Linked DNA regions of Notamacropus eugenii. The main gene of each other region encodes a partner of the protein of the gene in region 2 in a complex. Links are inferred from orthologs where the notes say so. Each region holds a gene or a part of one and is shown on either strand. Other genes may lie near its edges.

Region 1 (7,456 bases), about 48 Mb from region 2:
TTAAGAGAAACGTGTCTTTATCATATTTGGAATTACCCCACCATGAAGCCAAAGGTCCTGCAATGACTTAATAGAGGCTTAGGATAAGGTTCAGGTTCCCTAGGTAATTTCATGGTCCTTGGGTTTGGGAAGTGGGGAGGGGGCAGAGGTGGGCAGCTCCTTACTCAGGGTTGGCCTAGTGGAAGAGGGTAGGCGCAGGCCTGGGTGGATAGAAGATAAGGTTAGGCTGAGGTAGTTGCAGGCAGCAGAAGGGTAGAGCTGGGTATAGCCCTCATGGGAAGGCCTGGTGCATGCAGAAACTTGGGCTGGGTGCAAATAACTATTGTGCATTAAAATTCAATGTTATCAGTATAAATTATTTAATAATACTCAACATGACTAATAATTATGGCTTAAAACTGATACAGGAAAATTATGGCATCCCTACAATCCCCTTTGCCTTTCATAAGATCTTGTAAGAGGGAGCATGGGTATGATTATCCTGTACTTACTTATATGGTAACTCAGGCTTCCCTAGGTCGGGGCACATGGTCCAGGTCATGACACAGGAAGAGATTAGACAAGCCCTGCTCTACTTACATTTCTGTTCAGAGGTCTTCTGCAGTAAGCTACCTCTTAGATCAGACAGTTATGAAAACTGTTTTCCCCAATATGATGCTTCATAGGTAATTTTAACTAGTGCGTGATTGATCTTAAAAGATATTTGTTGTTGTTCAGTTGTGTAGGACTCTGTGTTTTCTTGGCAAAGATTCTGAAGTGGTTTGCCATTTCCTTTTCCAGTTCATTTTACAGGTGAGGAAACTTAGGCAAACGGGGTTAAGTGACTTGCCCAGAGTCACACACAGCTAATAAGTGTCTGAAGTCACATCTGAACTCAGGTCATCCTGGCTCCAGGACCAGCATTCTATCCACTACGCCACCTAGCTGCCCTATCCATGATACAGAAAGAATTGATAAGAGCATGTCATTCCCCCAGTAATAAAAGGTCAAAACTTACGAACAAGAAGATATCAAAAGAAGAAATGCAAATCTTCAATCAATTAACAAGCTTGTATTAAACAGTGTACGATAGACACTAGAGATACTAATAAAAAGAATGAAACAATCTATTCAAGGAACTCACATTCTATAACAATAGGAAAGAATCCCCTTATCAGTAATAATAGGAGAAACATTAATCTAAGAGATTTTCTTCTCTGTGTGCGTCATATTGGCAAAGATGACAGATGAAAATGCTAAATTTTGAAGGGCCTGGAGGAAAATAAGACTAATTCATTGTTGGTAGAATTGTGAATTGGTCCAACAATTCTGATTATATTAGAAAAGTCACCAAACTCTGACCCAGCAATACCTCTGTTGGGCACATGCTCTAAGAAGGTCAAAGACAGAAGCAAGGGTCCCACATATATAAAAATACTGTTTATTGGCAGGAAGTAAAGACCTGGAAACAGTGATTTTCTCTTATCAGCTGGGAAGTAGCTGGACAGAATAGAAAGGAATATCGTTGTGCTGGAGGAAACTGATGAATGTGAAGAATTCAAAGAAACTTGAGAAGACTTGTATGAATTGATGTAGTGAAGTAAAACCCCATGACTACAATCACGCAACTTAAACACAATAAAAGGTGTATGGATTGTGATCAGTGCAGCCAACAATTTTGATTTCGCAGTACTTGCAAGGCTCTCATCTTTGAGATGGTGGACTATTAGATGAAATTATGTTGTTAGATATGGCTGATGTTTTTGTTCATTTGCACAGCAGTACTAGTATGAGGGTAGTACTGCTATTAAGAGAAGGAGGCATTGGGCACTGACATGTAAACATTTTTTCAAAGTACTAATAAACCTTTTTAAAAAATTACATGGATACCAATGAAACCAGCCAGCCTTCTCTTCTAGTTGTAATTCTCTTACATATTTTATATACTGATTTGTGCAGTTGGTAGTGTACTAAAGTCTTCATTCTGTTCACCAATCTATTGTCCTTTGAGTGATCCATACTGGATCGCAGCTCTCCCTCACTCAAAACAAAGTCAAGTGTAAGTCATGTCATCATTTCTCTGATGTCATGGTCTTCTTCTAAAACGAAGGACGGGCACAACTTTTGATTAGTCCAGAGTGACACAAAAAGTGAGAAATGAGCTTTGCCTTCATGGAGTTCACAGTGTTTAGGGCAATAAGGCATATTCACAAATAACTATGAGAAACTAGGTGGTATAGTGGATAGTGCGTCAGACCTGAACTCAAGAAGACAGCTTCCTGAGTTCAAATTTGGTCGCAGACACTTAATAGCTGTGTGATCTTGGGCAAGTCACTTCACCCTATTTGCCTCAGTTTCCACCTCTGTAAAATGAGCTAGAGAAGGAAATGGCAAACTACTCCAGTATCTTTGCCAAGAAAGCCCCAAATGGGATCACAGAGAGTTAGAGATGACTGAACAAATACCTATAATACAGAATATAATTTGTTAAATGCCTAAAGGCAGGTAATAGAAGGTTTCCTTAGCTGTGTGATTCTGGCCAAATCACTTAAACATTTTTGAGCCCTCAATCCTCATCTATAAAATGGTATTTAAAAAGAACTATCTACCTCACAGGTTTCCTGTGAAAAAAGTACTTTGCAAATTGTAAATTAAAAAAAAAAAGTTCTTTTTAAACCTTGCTATCATTATTCCCAGGGAAAGTTTAATTTCCTAAGGGAGATTGGAGATTGTCTTTCAAGTTAAAGACTGAGCCAGGCCTAGAACTCAGATTTTCTGCCTTTAGGGTCTTGTCTCTTTCCTTTATACGCTAATGTGGAAAGACAAGAACAGAACAGTCCAGAAACTTTAAATTGTGGATTTTGACCTGGGAAATGAAGTAGGAGACTATGAGTCTGCAGTGTTTCATATGAGGTCAGTCCATGTGACCATTGGTTTTGCTTAACTTTATTTTGTTATAAAAAAACGATTACATGGTCTGTAGGAGGGGTATATCCAGAAATGACTGTGATATTTAAAAAGGCATCAATAAAAGTTTTTAAAGTTGTAATTACCATTTTGTTACATACTTTGATGGCTCTCTAGTCTTCTCCTCCAGTGTAGATGTTCAACCATCCCTCCCTGCCTTTTCATTTTATGTAATTCTTGTCCATGCCCTTTCCAAAGGCTTCCATAGTGTCCAATTCAGTGGAGCCTTTCCTCAAAATGATTTAGTATTTTGAGGATACCAAGTGTTTGCTATCCTTTGCTCTCCTTGTATGACTTCAATTCATATTTATTAAATACCTACCAGCTGCAAGGCACCTACCAGGTGTTGTGACTATGAGACAAAAATGAAAATTCATGGACTCAAGGAGCTTATATTCCATTGGGGGTATATAATATGTATGTTATGTATATATATATAAATATGAATATGTATATACACACAAAAAAGGAAATAATTTCTGGGGTAGGAGTGGAGATCTGGGAAAAAGGAAAGACTTGCTCTAATGTAGGAATTAGCATATGAGTTGAGTCTTGAGGGGAGCTAGAAGCAGAAGAGGGAGGGAATTCCAGGCATGGGGCACAACTTGTGCAAAGGCATGGGGGTGGGAGATGGAACATCATGTATAAAGAACAGTATGTGGGCCAGCTTGGCTGGAAGAGTTTGTGAAATATGAAATTAACTTAGAGAGTTAGTCTGGAGCTATATTATAAAAGACTTTAAACACCAAGTAGAGGAGTTTGCATTGTAGCCTAGAGGCACAGTCAGAGCCTATCAGTTTGGTAGCCCTGTGGAGAATGGACTGGAAAGAGTGGAAAAATACGCTGTCAGGAGGATATGAAGTGATTAGATGTGGGGAGGGGGACTGAGGGAAAGTGAAGAATGGACAACCAGGAGCTTGTTTACCGAGCTACAGAAAGGTGGAAGGGGATCTCTTCAATCGAATAAAAATAGGGCTGCTGGAGAAAAGGGCGAGAACTAAACTGAATGACTTAAAGCACTTTGGTTTTAAAGAGCCACTGATTTTTTGGTTTGTTTGGACAAAGAGGAGAGGAGAAAAGGGATAAAGGACTGCAAGGCATTTATTCCCTCCCGATTCCCTCCCCAGGCAGCACTCCCTTTTAACAAAAAATAAGAAGAAAACAATGGACCAACAAAATTAAACAACACATAAACACACTGACAGTTTTTACTCACAGTCCCCTATTTTTGCAAAAAAAAGATCTGGAGAAGCATTTTATTTTTAAAAAAAATCAAAATGTTGAATTCATCCATTAAATTTCCCCATAAAATCCTTCCTACAGGCAGCATTAAAAGCAGGAGAATCAACTAATCTCTTAATATTTTACTGGATAAAAAAAGTTTTCAGCAGACTCTGGGTGTCAGTTTTCTCATCTGCAAAGTAAAGGCGGGTTGGACCAGGTTATTTTTTAGGTACTTGATCCCTTGATTTAACGTTCTATTTAACTGAAAACATCCACCCTCCTCTCATCAGATGAACTGCATCCCAGGATCTCCCTTTCTATTTAACTCAGACATCTACCTTGGACTCTGCACATGCAACGAAACTACATTTCCCAAGACCCCTTGCAGCAGGGGCTTCGGCTCAGCCCAGTTAAAAAGCCATATCGGAGCTTTAACTCGGCGAGCTTTGGGTCTTTTCGGAGCCGGCGCAGCCCCGCTCCCCGTCCGGCCATGGGCTTTAAAGCAGAGTGCCCTTCGAAGCGGACGGCACCGGCACACGTGCGGCCCAGTCCGCCGGCCGCCTGGCCCCGGGGCGCTCGGGGCGGAGGGGCGCGCCGAGGGGCTGCCGGTGGGCCTGCCGTAAGTGGGGGCGCGGCGGGGAGGCGGGCATGGACGGACGGATGGGCCGGCGGGTGGCGGGGGCTTTGCAAAGTTTCTCGCAGTTTACCCGCGCGCGCCTCTTTTCCCCTTCCTCCGCCTCCCGCCCGCCCGCCAGCCACCCAGCGCTGCCTCTGGCTTCCCGGGCGTCCGCCTCGCGCACGCTCGCGCCAGCCCGGGGAGGAGGGAGGGATCAGGGAGGCGGCCGCCCGCAGTTGGCGCGAGATAGGAAAGTCCTGCGGCGGCGGCGGCGGCGCGTCCCGCTCTTCCACGCCGGCTGCGGCAGCGGCCCCCGCCGGGCAGCCTCGGAGGGAGGGGGCGCCTCCCGGCCGCGACCTCCCCCCGCCCTCCCCCTCCCCCTCCCCCTCCCCCTGCTCCCGCCCGCACTTGCATTTCCTAGGCGGGGGCTCGTAGCGTCTGCCGCCGGCGAGCTCCGGCCGGGGCCGGGCCGGGCAGGGCAGGAGTCGGCTCCGCCGGGCGGGCTGCTGCGCCCCCTTCCCCTGCGCCCTCCCCACCGGGCTCGCCCCGTCCTCCATTGCCCCGTTCCCACTTTTCTTCCCTCCCTCTCTTCTCCCCCGTTTCCTCTCCTCCCCTCCCCTTCCCCCTTCTCTTTCCCTCCTTTCCCCGCTCCTCGCGTCCTGCCCCCCTCCCTCCGCCGCCTTTATGACCCCCTGGCCCCGAGGGCAGCAGAGAGGGGATGGCTCGCCGGACTCGCGGGTAAGTTGGACCACCTCAGGGGGCCTTCAGCCCTGTTTTGTTTATCCGCGGACCCCCCCCCCCCCCCATTCTCCAGTTAGTAGTGGGTGAGAGGGGGTGCCTGCGGACCTCCCGGAGAACCTAGGTTAAATAGTAGAGCCCCCCCCATAGGTGGGTGTCTGGCTAAGGTTCAGTTTTTCCGCTCTCCGTGCAGTTGCCCACGCGCTGCCACCCCTGGTTCCCCCGGGGGGACCACGGACACCCGGGGGCCTCTTGGCCGGCCGCTGCAGGCTGATTGGGGCGTAGTCCGCACACGGGGCATTTTGTCTTTGGGTCCCCAGCTTAGCCGTCTGTAAAATGGGTGCTAATGGGGAGTTCTAGGGCACGGGCTCCGGGGGTCTAGGGCTTGCCCAGCAAATATTGTAAGGAGCAGTGTCTCATTAGAGTTGGAAGGGACTTCAGGACTTGTTCAGAATCCGAGAATGTACTCTTGATAATGCCATCATCCTTTCTTCTCAGTAGCATTTTTAAGTGCGTAAAGGAAAATGCATAGAATTACAAAGGAAACCAACTGAATATTGAAATACAGTTACCAAAATATAAGAAAAGACATGCACTCATCTGATCTAGGACCTCTCCACCTACCCCACTTTTGCAAAGGATGAGTTTGGGGCTCTGAGAGGAGATTACCTAAGGTCACAAAATATTGAATATTCAACCTAAAATTGTGAGCGCAGATGTCATCCATGAACTTCTATCTTGGTTCATGTGAGAGTCGGGTGTGGAGGAAATGAATTCTTATAAATTGAGAATTATGAAAAAAACTAATAAATCCACCCTTCCCAAAGCAAAGGGCAGTGGAAGAGAGGGGTTTTATATTCCAGACATGCTTGTGGATTATACCAAAGGGCATTAGTGTTTAGAGGTTCTTTGTAGGGAGTTTTGATGGCCTGAGTGTTTTAATGTCTTTGTTAAGTATGGAGGGTGCACATATGCATGTGTATATATACATACATGTATACATATGTATTTCAGAGGTCTCTCTTGTCTGTTGTAGGAGGGAGACAAGAATTACAGTATAATTGTGCCCCTCAAATTTTCTGCACCCTGAAACATAGGGCTGAAGTTATTTATGATATCATGCTGCACATATATATATATATTAAACGCCTATATTAGTTGCCACTTTTCCTGGGTGTTTTTTTGCCTTAGCAGGCAGTTCCCAGCTTACAAACATCCCACTTGTAAGTTATTGCTTACCTACAAATAGTTTCTCTCTCTTTCTGCCGAAAGGCTTCTTTTGGCCTTGGGATCATGGTGAGGAGCATGAGGCACATTTCTTTGCCTGTCAGCTGCTAGAATTATTTTCTCTTGTGGCCACCAGGCAGGGTTGAGTTGATAGGGGCAGCTATTGTCCAAAATAATTAATTGGAACTCTAGATGCATTTTTTTCTGATAGAAACAATGTTAAAAGTGGTTAAGTTCTGTTTCAGCTACATGATAGGTGAAATTGACTTTTTCTGGGTTCATAGCCACCTTTTAAAACTTTGTTTCTGAAAGGGAACATTCAGGACACAACCTGTTCTGGCGCTGTATTTGACCTGTCTTGGCCGTTTGGATTTTGCTTCTAGGAAATTGTCCTTAAAGATCTGGTCTAGGGTTTTTTAACGTTTTTTGTGTGTGTCAAAGACCCCTTCGGCAGTCTAGGGAACCCTTCTCAGAAGCATGTTTTTGATGCATAAAATAAAATACAAAAGATCACAAAAGAAACTCATATTGAAATAGTTATAAAAATTTTTTTGTTTTAAGTTCTCAGACCCCAACTTAAGAACCATGATTTGGTGAGGAGAGGAAAAAGTTTTGGCCACTTGGTCTTATTTTCCCAATAGTGTTATAACTTTAAAATCTGCATTCAGAATACGTTTTGAAAATATTGAGTACTAGTAAGTAAAT
Region 2 (7,692 bases):
CATACATAGAGAATCTGGAAACATATGCGGCCAAGGTTTCCAAGTAGAGGGACCACTCGTCCCTATGTTAAAAAGCTTTTGATGTTTAGAGTGATGCTACACTGCTCCCTACTGGTTGTTCAAGGGTTGAGCTAACAGCCCGATGGTCCACAAGAAGTGCTGTTGGAAATGTCTCCAACCAGTGACTGCCTAGCACTGTTAAATAATAGTGATGCTTCTTGCTATGTGATCCTGCTTCCAGAATAGATATATGTATATGAGAATATATTCATATCTTTATATAAGGGTTACCTGACCAATAACTGCCCAACTCCTGAAGGGTTCATTTTTCCATTAAAAAAAAAATTCTAAACAATTTCTGTTTTTCCATGTAGGTGAAAGGATAAGGGAAGGATATAAAGAGGAGGACAAATAATATCAGGAGGGTAATGTCTTGACTTGCAAGTGAATTGGATTTAAGTGAGACAGGGCTGTGCAAAGTCACCAGCTTCACTCTCCTCCAAGGTCATTTGAGTCCAGTAGCAAGACATAGATCAGGACAACTAGCAATGGCCCCAGAAGCTATGGGAGACCTTGGCCTTTTTAAGCTAAGGTCTTTCCCACATCTCGGTTTGAGGCAATACCCATTCTGTGATTTAGAGCTAGGTAAGAAATGAGGCAAAAGATGACTTCATTTGCCTGCCCCAAAAAACAAAAAAGCCAAATTTGAACAAAGGAAGGAGTCTTCCTGTCTCAGGCCCAGTGCTCTATCCATTTCACCATCTAGTTGCCCCTTTAGACTCCTAAGGACTACAATTAAGAGATACTGGGTTAGGCTTCTTGTGTGACATTAGGCCTTGACAGCTCTTTGTAATCTACTCCCTCACCCCCTTTCAGTCTTCCATCTTCTACCACGCCCACCTCCCTTCACACACTCTTCAACCTGGTGACTCTGGCTTCCTTGTTATCCCTAGCAAGATGACAGCTCTCAACTCCTGAATTTTCTCTTGCTATTCCCCCATGACTAGAATGATCTCCCTCAACTCTGTCTCCTGGCTTCTGTCAAGTACCAGCTAAAATCACACCTCCAGGAAGTTTTTCCCAACACCTACATTTCAGTGCACTCCCTCTTCTATTTCCTATTTTTCTTGTATATAGCTTATGTTTATACGTGCATTTGTTTGTTGTCTCCCAATTGTACTGTGATATCCTTAAGGGCAGGGATTGTTTTTTGCCGTTTTGTGTCTACCCTCTCCCCCCTGCCAATGCTTAGCACAGTGCCTGGCATATAGTAGGTGCTTAATAAATGCTTATTGACTGACTGGGAGAATGTACATTCCTTGAGGGCAAGGACTCATTTTTGTCTTTGCATCCCACAGCATTTAGTGTGGTACCTTGTACATAGCAGGAACTTAGGTGCTTGTTGATTTATTGATCCCTATGAATGACCTTTTTTTTACTTCATTTTTTATTTATTTAGTATCTTATTTTTCCTCAATTACATATAAAATCAACTTTTAACATTCATTGTTAAAACTTTGAGTTCCAAATTCTCTCCCTTCTCCCTCTCCCTCTCCCCCCCACCCTTTGAGAAGGCAAGCAATTCAATACAGGTTATACCTGTGTAGTCATGTGAAACATATCCACAATAGTCATGTTGTGAAAGAAAACATAGAAAAAACCTCAAGAAAAATAAAGCAAAAAAAAAAGTATGCTTCAATTTATATTCAGACATCCTGATGACCTTTTCACATTTATTTTTTCTTTTACCTCTCTGCATCATTTCTATTACTATCCTTTCTTCCTGGATACTTTCTCCTCTCTGGGTTTTCATGATTAATTAATCAGTTTTCTTTTTATCTATCTAAACTAGTCTTTTTTGCAAAAGAAATGCTTATCATACTCCTTACCTGTGAGTGTTACACAAGGTTCTGTCCTTGACCTTCTCCTTTTCTTTCTCTACACTCTCTCGGTGACCTCATCAGCTCACACAGGTCTAATGTTTTTCATCTCTATATAGATTAATTGTAGATCTACATATCCAACCCTAGTCTCTTTCCTGAGTTCCAGTACTATATCACCAACTTCCTAGTGGCAGTGGGATAACCTGGATATTCCAGAGGATCAGAAGCTGAGCACATTCAAAACATAATTGTCTTTTTCCCAAATCACCTCTCTTCCAACTTTCAAAGGTACCACACTACTTCCAGTCACCCACGTTCACAGTCTTAACATTGTACCCAACTGTTCACTCCTCCTCAGCCCACAGAGCCAATCACTTGCCAAATTTTGTTATTTCTACTTCTACAATCTCTCTCATACCCAACCACTTCTCTCTATTCACAGATCTGCAACCCTAGTTTAGGTTCTCATTACTTCTGGATTATTGCAATAGTTTCTTGATTGGTCCCTCTGCCTAAGTCTCTATTCCAAACCATCCATACAATTGCTAGAGGATTTTCCTAAAATTCAGGTCTGACCATGTCACCCCTCTACACAACAAATTCTAGTGGTTTTGTATTACTTCTAGAATAAGTTATAATTTGATTACCTGTTGACAAATCTATTTGGCATTTAAAGCCTTCACTCCAGATTATCTTTCCAGCCTTATTACACTGTCCTTGCATTCATGCACACTATTTTCTTTCCCCCCCAAATTTATTAATTTGTTTTTAGTTTTCAACAATCACTTCCATAACTTCAAAATTTTCTCCCCCTCCTTCCCCAAGATGGCATGCAGTTTTATATGGGCTCTACACAAACATTCCTATTATACACATTTTCACATTAGTCATGTTGCATAGAAGAATTAAAACGAATGGGAGAAGCCATGAGAAAAACAAAACATGACAAAAGGGAAAATAATCTACCAACTCCATAGTTCTGTGTTCCAACTCCATAGTTCTTTCTCTGGATGTGGATGGCATTTTGCATCATGAGTCCTTCGGAAATGTTTTAGGTCCTTGCATTGCTGTGAATCTATCAAAAATAATCCTCACACTCTGTGGTTGTTACTGTGTATAATGTTCTCCTGGCTCTGCTCACTTCACTCAGCATCAGTTCATATAAGCTTTTCCAGATTTTTCTGAAGTTAGCCTATTTGTCATTTCTCATCCTCGCTGAATCACAGGTAGAGAGCAAATAAGTCAGCCACAACATCATTCACCAGGTCCTCCTTGATGAGCTACAGCAGGAGTAACAGGCCTGGAATCATCTCTGAGCCAGATCACTGCAGGGCTTGGTCAGCTATGTCACCTTCATCTGTAGCATCTTTGACTATTGAATGATGCCAGAGAGAACCATCTACTTCCTCTGACCCTGTTGTCCCCTTCATTTCTTACAGGGTGATAGTATTGCATCACAGTTATGTATCATAAGTTGTTCAGTCATTCCCCAAAGGATGGATAGTCCTTCAGTTTCCTATTTTTTGTTTCAACAGAAAGGGCTACATACTTGGTTTTGCTAAGCTGACCTTTTCTTGTGTTCTCAATGGGAAGGTAGGGAGTAGAGAGGTAGGTGAGAAGGCAGTCTTGACCAATTAAATAAAAATATATCATTATCTGTCTATATCTATAAAACTTAGGAACCTTAATAAACACGGTGACCAACCAGAAATCCTAAGGGCTTATGATGAAATATGTTTCGAGCCTCCCCCCCCCCACCCCACTACATAGTAGGTACTTAGTAAATGCCTATTCTTTCCTAAATCTTCAGTTACATCATTTCATTCTCTTGCTCAATTCCAGTGGCTCCCCATGATGAAGTACAAACTCCTCTGATATTTAAAATCCTTTATAAACAAATTCCAAACTACCTTTCCAGAGTCATACATTACTTTCCTTTGTATGTGCTGTGGTCCAGTCAAACTATACTTCTTGGTATCCTTCATCTCGCAGCCTTTGCCCCAGCTGTCTTCCATGCTTGAAATGCACGTCCTCCACACCTCCATCTCTAAGAAGCCCTACTTTCATTCAAAACTCAGCCCAAGTGAGATCTGCAAGAAGCTACCTTATCCTTATTTTGCATGTACTTTTATACGTACACTTTGTCTCTCAGAAAAAAAGCTCCTTTAAGGCAGACTTTCATTTTTGTTTTTGTCTCCCTAGTACAGTAACTGACACATAGAAGATGGTTACTAAAATATATGTAGCTTAACCAATGTGAGAGAAAGTAAAGAACAGATACTGTCCAGGTGCTCTATTAGTATCCATCCCTGCTACAACAGAAAGTCAGAGAAAGGCAATGTGCACATTGGGTGGTACCCCTGGAAGGATTTGTGGGAATACATGGAACAATCACACAGGAGAGACAGACATGGATAGATTGTAATCTGTATCACTGGGAGGAGTACCTACATAGTTAAAATCATAGTCACTCAAGAAGTATTGAGCAAAAGGTCATTTCTTATTTAGTACTGTATTAATCATTTTTTACAAATAATGCTTTATATGCTGAGGGGGGAGAGACTCAAGGTGTAAAACAAATCATACACTTTTGAACATGCAAATGTGTGGGTTTGGATTTGCTTGACCATACTTATTAAGAGAATTATGTAATTCTTTATTCCTTGGAGAATAAAGGGAAGTTAGCAATAGCAATGACAAAAAAAATCATTTAAGTGTTCGTTTTAAATGTTCATTGAAAAATGAAATAAAATATACATTAAAGAAGCAACTCTGGAAGGAAATACAAGCAGAACAGCTTTGAAACTAACATAAATTTAATACACTTTTTTAAAGTATTTATAGATGCGAGGTTTCAGATACAAATCTCTTTTTCTGTCTTTTGTATAAAGATTAAAAAAAAGTGACATTTAGAAAACCCTGGTCTCTTCCTAAGTGAGACATAGGTATTCTCTCCATTTGGGTTCTGTTCCAGCTTAGGGTTTAACAGGGTGTATGTAATGATTCTTTTTGAAAAGAAGCAACAGAAAGAGGAGGTGAATTACCTAGTCACAGAGTGGCAGAACAGGACTAGTAGGTCTCCTAACTCCTGATTTGGTACTTTTCCACTTAGCTGGAAGAAGCCCAAATTTAGGCTCCTTAGGAAGCAGTTCACAGAATCTCAAAAGAGACAGCAGAGACCATTTAGACCAACCCCCAAATTTTACACTATTGAAACTAGAGCAGAATTTTCCCAAGATCACACAGATTGTGATTAGCAGCAACTCATCACCTTTCTCCAAATCCAGTTTTCTTTTACTCTCCCCCTTGGCTGGATGTGTGTGTAAAATAAGGTTTCAAGGATATTTTTAGAAGGTTTAGAATGACTGAGAATCAAGGTTCAGTTAAAACCTCAACCCAGGCTTTGAGGCAGGAGAATTTTATGACTGAATTAGTTTTAGGGGAGGGCATTTTGGTCATATTTTTAGGTGGCCTTGAGATTAGGCAGAAGGACTCAGAATTATTCAAGTCATACCAATGTACCTTAAAGGATGTAAATTACAGAATATCAGTTGCAATTTTTTACTCCCATGATGAGACTTGGGGAGACTGAATAGGTGTCCCAGTGTATAGAGTTGGGGGAAATAGCACTGCAGTAGGAATGAGGCCTGAGTGGTAGACCATATGCTCTGAACCTCCTTATTTGACAAAAGAAGAAACGAGTCTCAAAAGGGCTGGAACTTGCCCCAGATAATACATCAAGTTAATGGCAGAGTTGGGGATTACAATCTAGGTCTTCTAAATCCAAGCCCAGCATACATTATTGAACCCTTATTTTTATTCTTAAAAGTAACAATAAAATACTCAAAATGAAAAAAAAATGATTATACATAAAACTGCAAACTCCAAATTACTGGCAAATTTTGTACATGTGATTAATTAAAATGCTCCCATTTGCTTTTGTAACCCTTTCTGATCAACATATTTTAATTTTGTTGCCAGCTTTTTACAGTGGTAGCTCTACATTGTATCCTATTCAAATTCTCTTTTTTTTATTCTGCACGTCACATTTCTTTCAATCTCCCAGGCATTTTCAGATCATTCTTGATTTCCTAGGGCACATTAATGTTCGATGACGTTCAATTTGTTCAGAGAATACTCAGCCACTGACACATTCCCTAATTTGTTTAACAGATGAGGAAACTAAGGCCCACCTTGATGAGATTGACGCAGCTAGAAAGCATATGGAGTAGGAACAAGGACCCAAGCGTCCAGATTCCTGCTCTAACTTTCCACTCCTATGATGAGTCTTGTTGAGGCTGAGAAAATGAGATGGCCAGTGTAGAAGTAGCATGGAAGGGAAAAGGCCTGCAGGGGAATGAGAAGGTCTGAGCTGCAGTCCCCAGGGGGGTGACCTTGGATAACTCACTCTACCTGAACCTGTTTCCTTCCCCCTTCTAACAAGGCTAAGGTGTGTCTTACAGTTCCAACAACTTCTTGCTCCTTCTGTTTCTCCTATAAAAAAGAGATCGTTCTACAGGGAACCTAAGAAGGAATAGGGGGGGAAAAAAAGCTCCACGCACCTCCACCCCCGAGTTCCCAGCTAAGCTTGGCACCTGTCCCGGGGACTGGCACATTTGAACAATAAAGGAGGAGGCTTGAATGACTTAGGAGCCGCTCCCAACTCGTAAATTCCTAGGAAGCCGAGCTGCTCGGCCGAAGACACAAAATGGGGCTTTGTGTCCCTCGCGGGCACCCGACGCGGACTACAGCTTCCAGGAGGCCGCGTTCGCAGTGACGGCGGCCGGAGCGGCCACGTAACCGTTGGCGGCGCAGGCGCGCTGCGGGCAGCCGGCCGGGCGGGCGCTTCGCGGTTTGAATGGCTCCGGGCCGGGGCCGCCCGTTCGCCTAAGAAGCGGCCGTCGCGGAGCGGAGCGGAGCGCGATGCCGGCAGGGGCAGACCAGCCGCCTCCGCCGGCGGCGGCCTCCGAAGAGGAGGAAGACGACGGCGCGGAAGAGGAAGCGCCCACGGAGGATGGTGGGGAGGAGGCTGGGGCAGAGCGCGGCGGGCCTGTCGGGCAGACGCCGGCGCCTCAGACGCGCCAGCGGTTTGACGAGCTTTGCGGCCGCCTCAACATGGACGAGGAGGCGCGGGCCGAGGCGTGGGAGAGCTACCGGAGCATGAGCCAAAGCTACACGCTGGAGGTGCGCCCGCATCCAGGGAGGGGCGGGCGGGCGGGCCTGGGGCAGAGCCGCAGCCGGATTTCGGGCCTGGCCACCGCCCCTCCGGGTCGAGTGCCCGCCTCCCGCGGACTCGTGCCCACCGCACGCACACGCACGCACACGCACGCGCGCACGGTGGGCGACGTACGCCCTCCCCCGGAGGGGCTGTTTGCCTTGGAGCGAGAAAGGCTCCTCTTGGGGGCGGGGGATTTAAAGGCAGGCTGGAACGCTGTGTGGCTCTTCGCTGGTGACCTCCCCTCCCCGACCCTCCGTTGCTCGTCTGTAAAATGGGGGGTCGGATTAAATCATTCTGAGGGCCCTTCACGCCTTCGTGTCAGTAGTTCGTGAACATTTAGCGAATGCCTCCTGTGTGCCAGGCCCTGTGCTAAGCTCTGGGAAGACAAAGAGAGATGTAAAACAAGCCCTGAGCTCCCAGTGTCCTGAGGGGGAGAGCACACCTAAAAAAGTGAGGAAGGAGCGGGGCAGGGTGTCATCAAGTCCGGCCGCTTGCATGGGGAATGATCCCGGGAGGTGAGGGTTGCTGAGGAGATCATGAAATCCAGGAGGTCATCTGGGTGGGAAATAAAGGCGAAGAGCTAGCAGAATG

Evidence for each region. Proteins that work in one complex are often made in the same cells at the same time.
Region 1: RBL2 (region 2) and MYBL2 share a complex: the UniProt entries of both Homo sapiens proteins name them as parts of the DREAM complex. The link is inferred for Notamacropus eugenii from reciprocal best matches to the Homo sapiens genes RBL2 and MYBL2.

The regions. Positions count from the first base shown.
Region 1 is NC_092872.1:420,949,961-420,957,416, forward strand, and holds the start of MYBL2 (myb-related protein B), read left to right. Parts: upstream 1-4,445; 5' UTR 4,446-4,460; coding exon 4,461-4,789; intron 4,790-5,168; exon of another isoform or gene 5,169-5,504; coding exon of another isoform or gene 5,505-5,524; intron 5,525-7,456. UniProt on the Homo sapiens protein: Transcription factor involved in the regulation of cell survival, proliferation, and differentiation. Transactivates the expression of the CLU gene.
Region 2 is NC_092872.1:469,041,562-469,049,253, forward strand, and holds the start of RBL2 (retinoblastoma-like protein 2), read left to right. Parts: upstream 1-4,687; 5' UTR 4,688-6,806; coding exon 6,807-7,067; intron 7,068-7,692. UniProt on the Homo sapiens protein: Key regulator of entry into cell division. Directly involved in heterochromatin formation by maintaining overall chromatin structure and, in particular, that of constitutive heterochromatin by stabilizing histone methylation.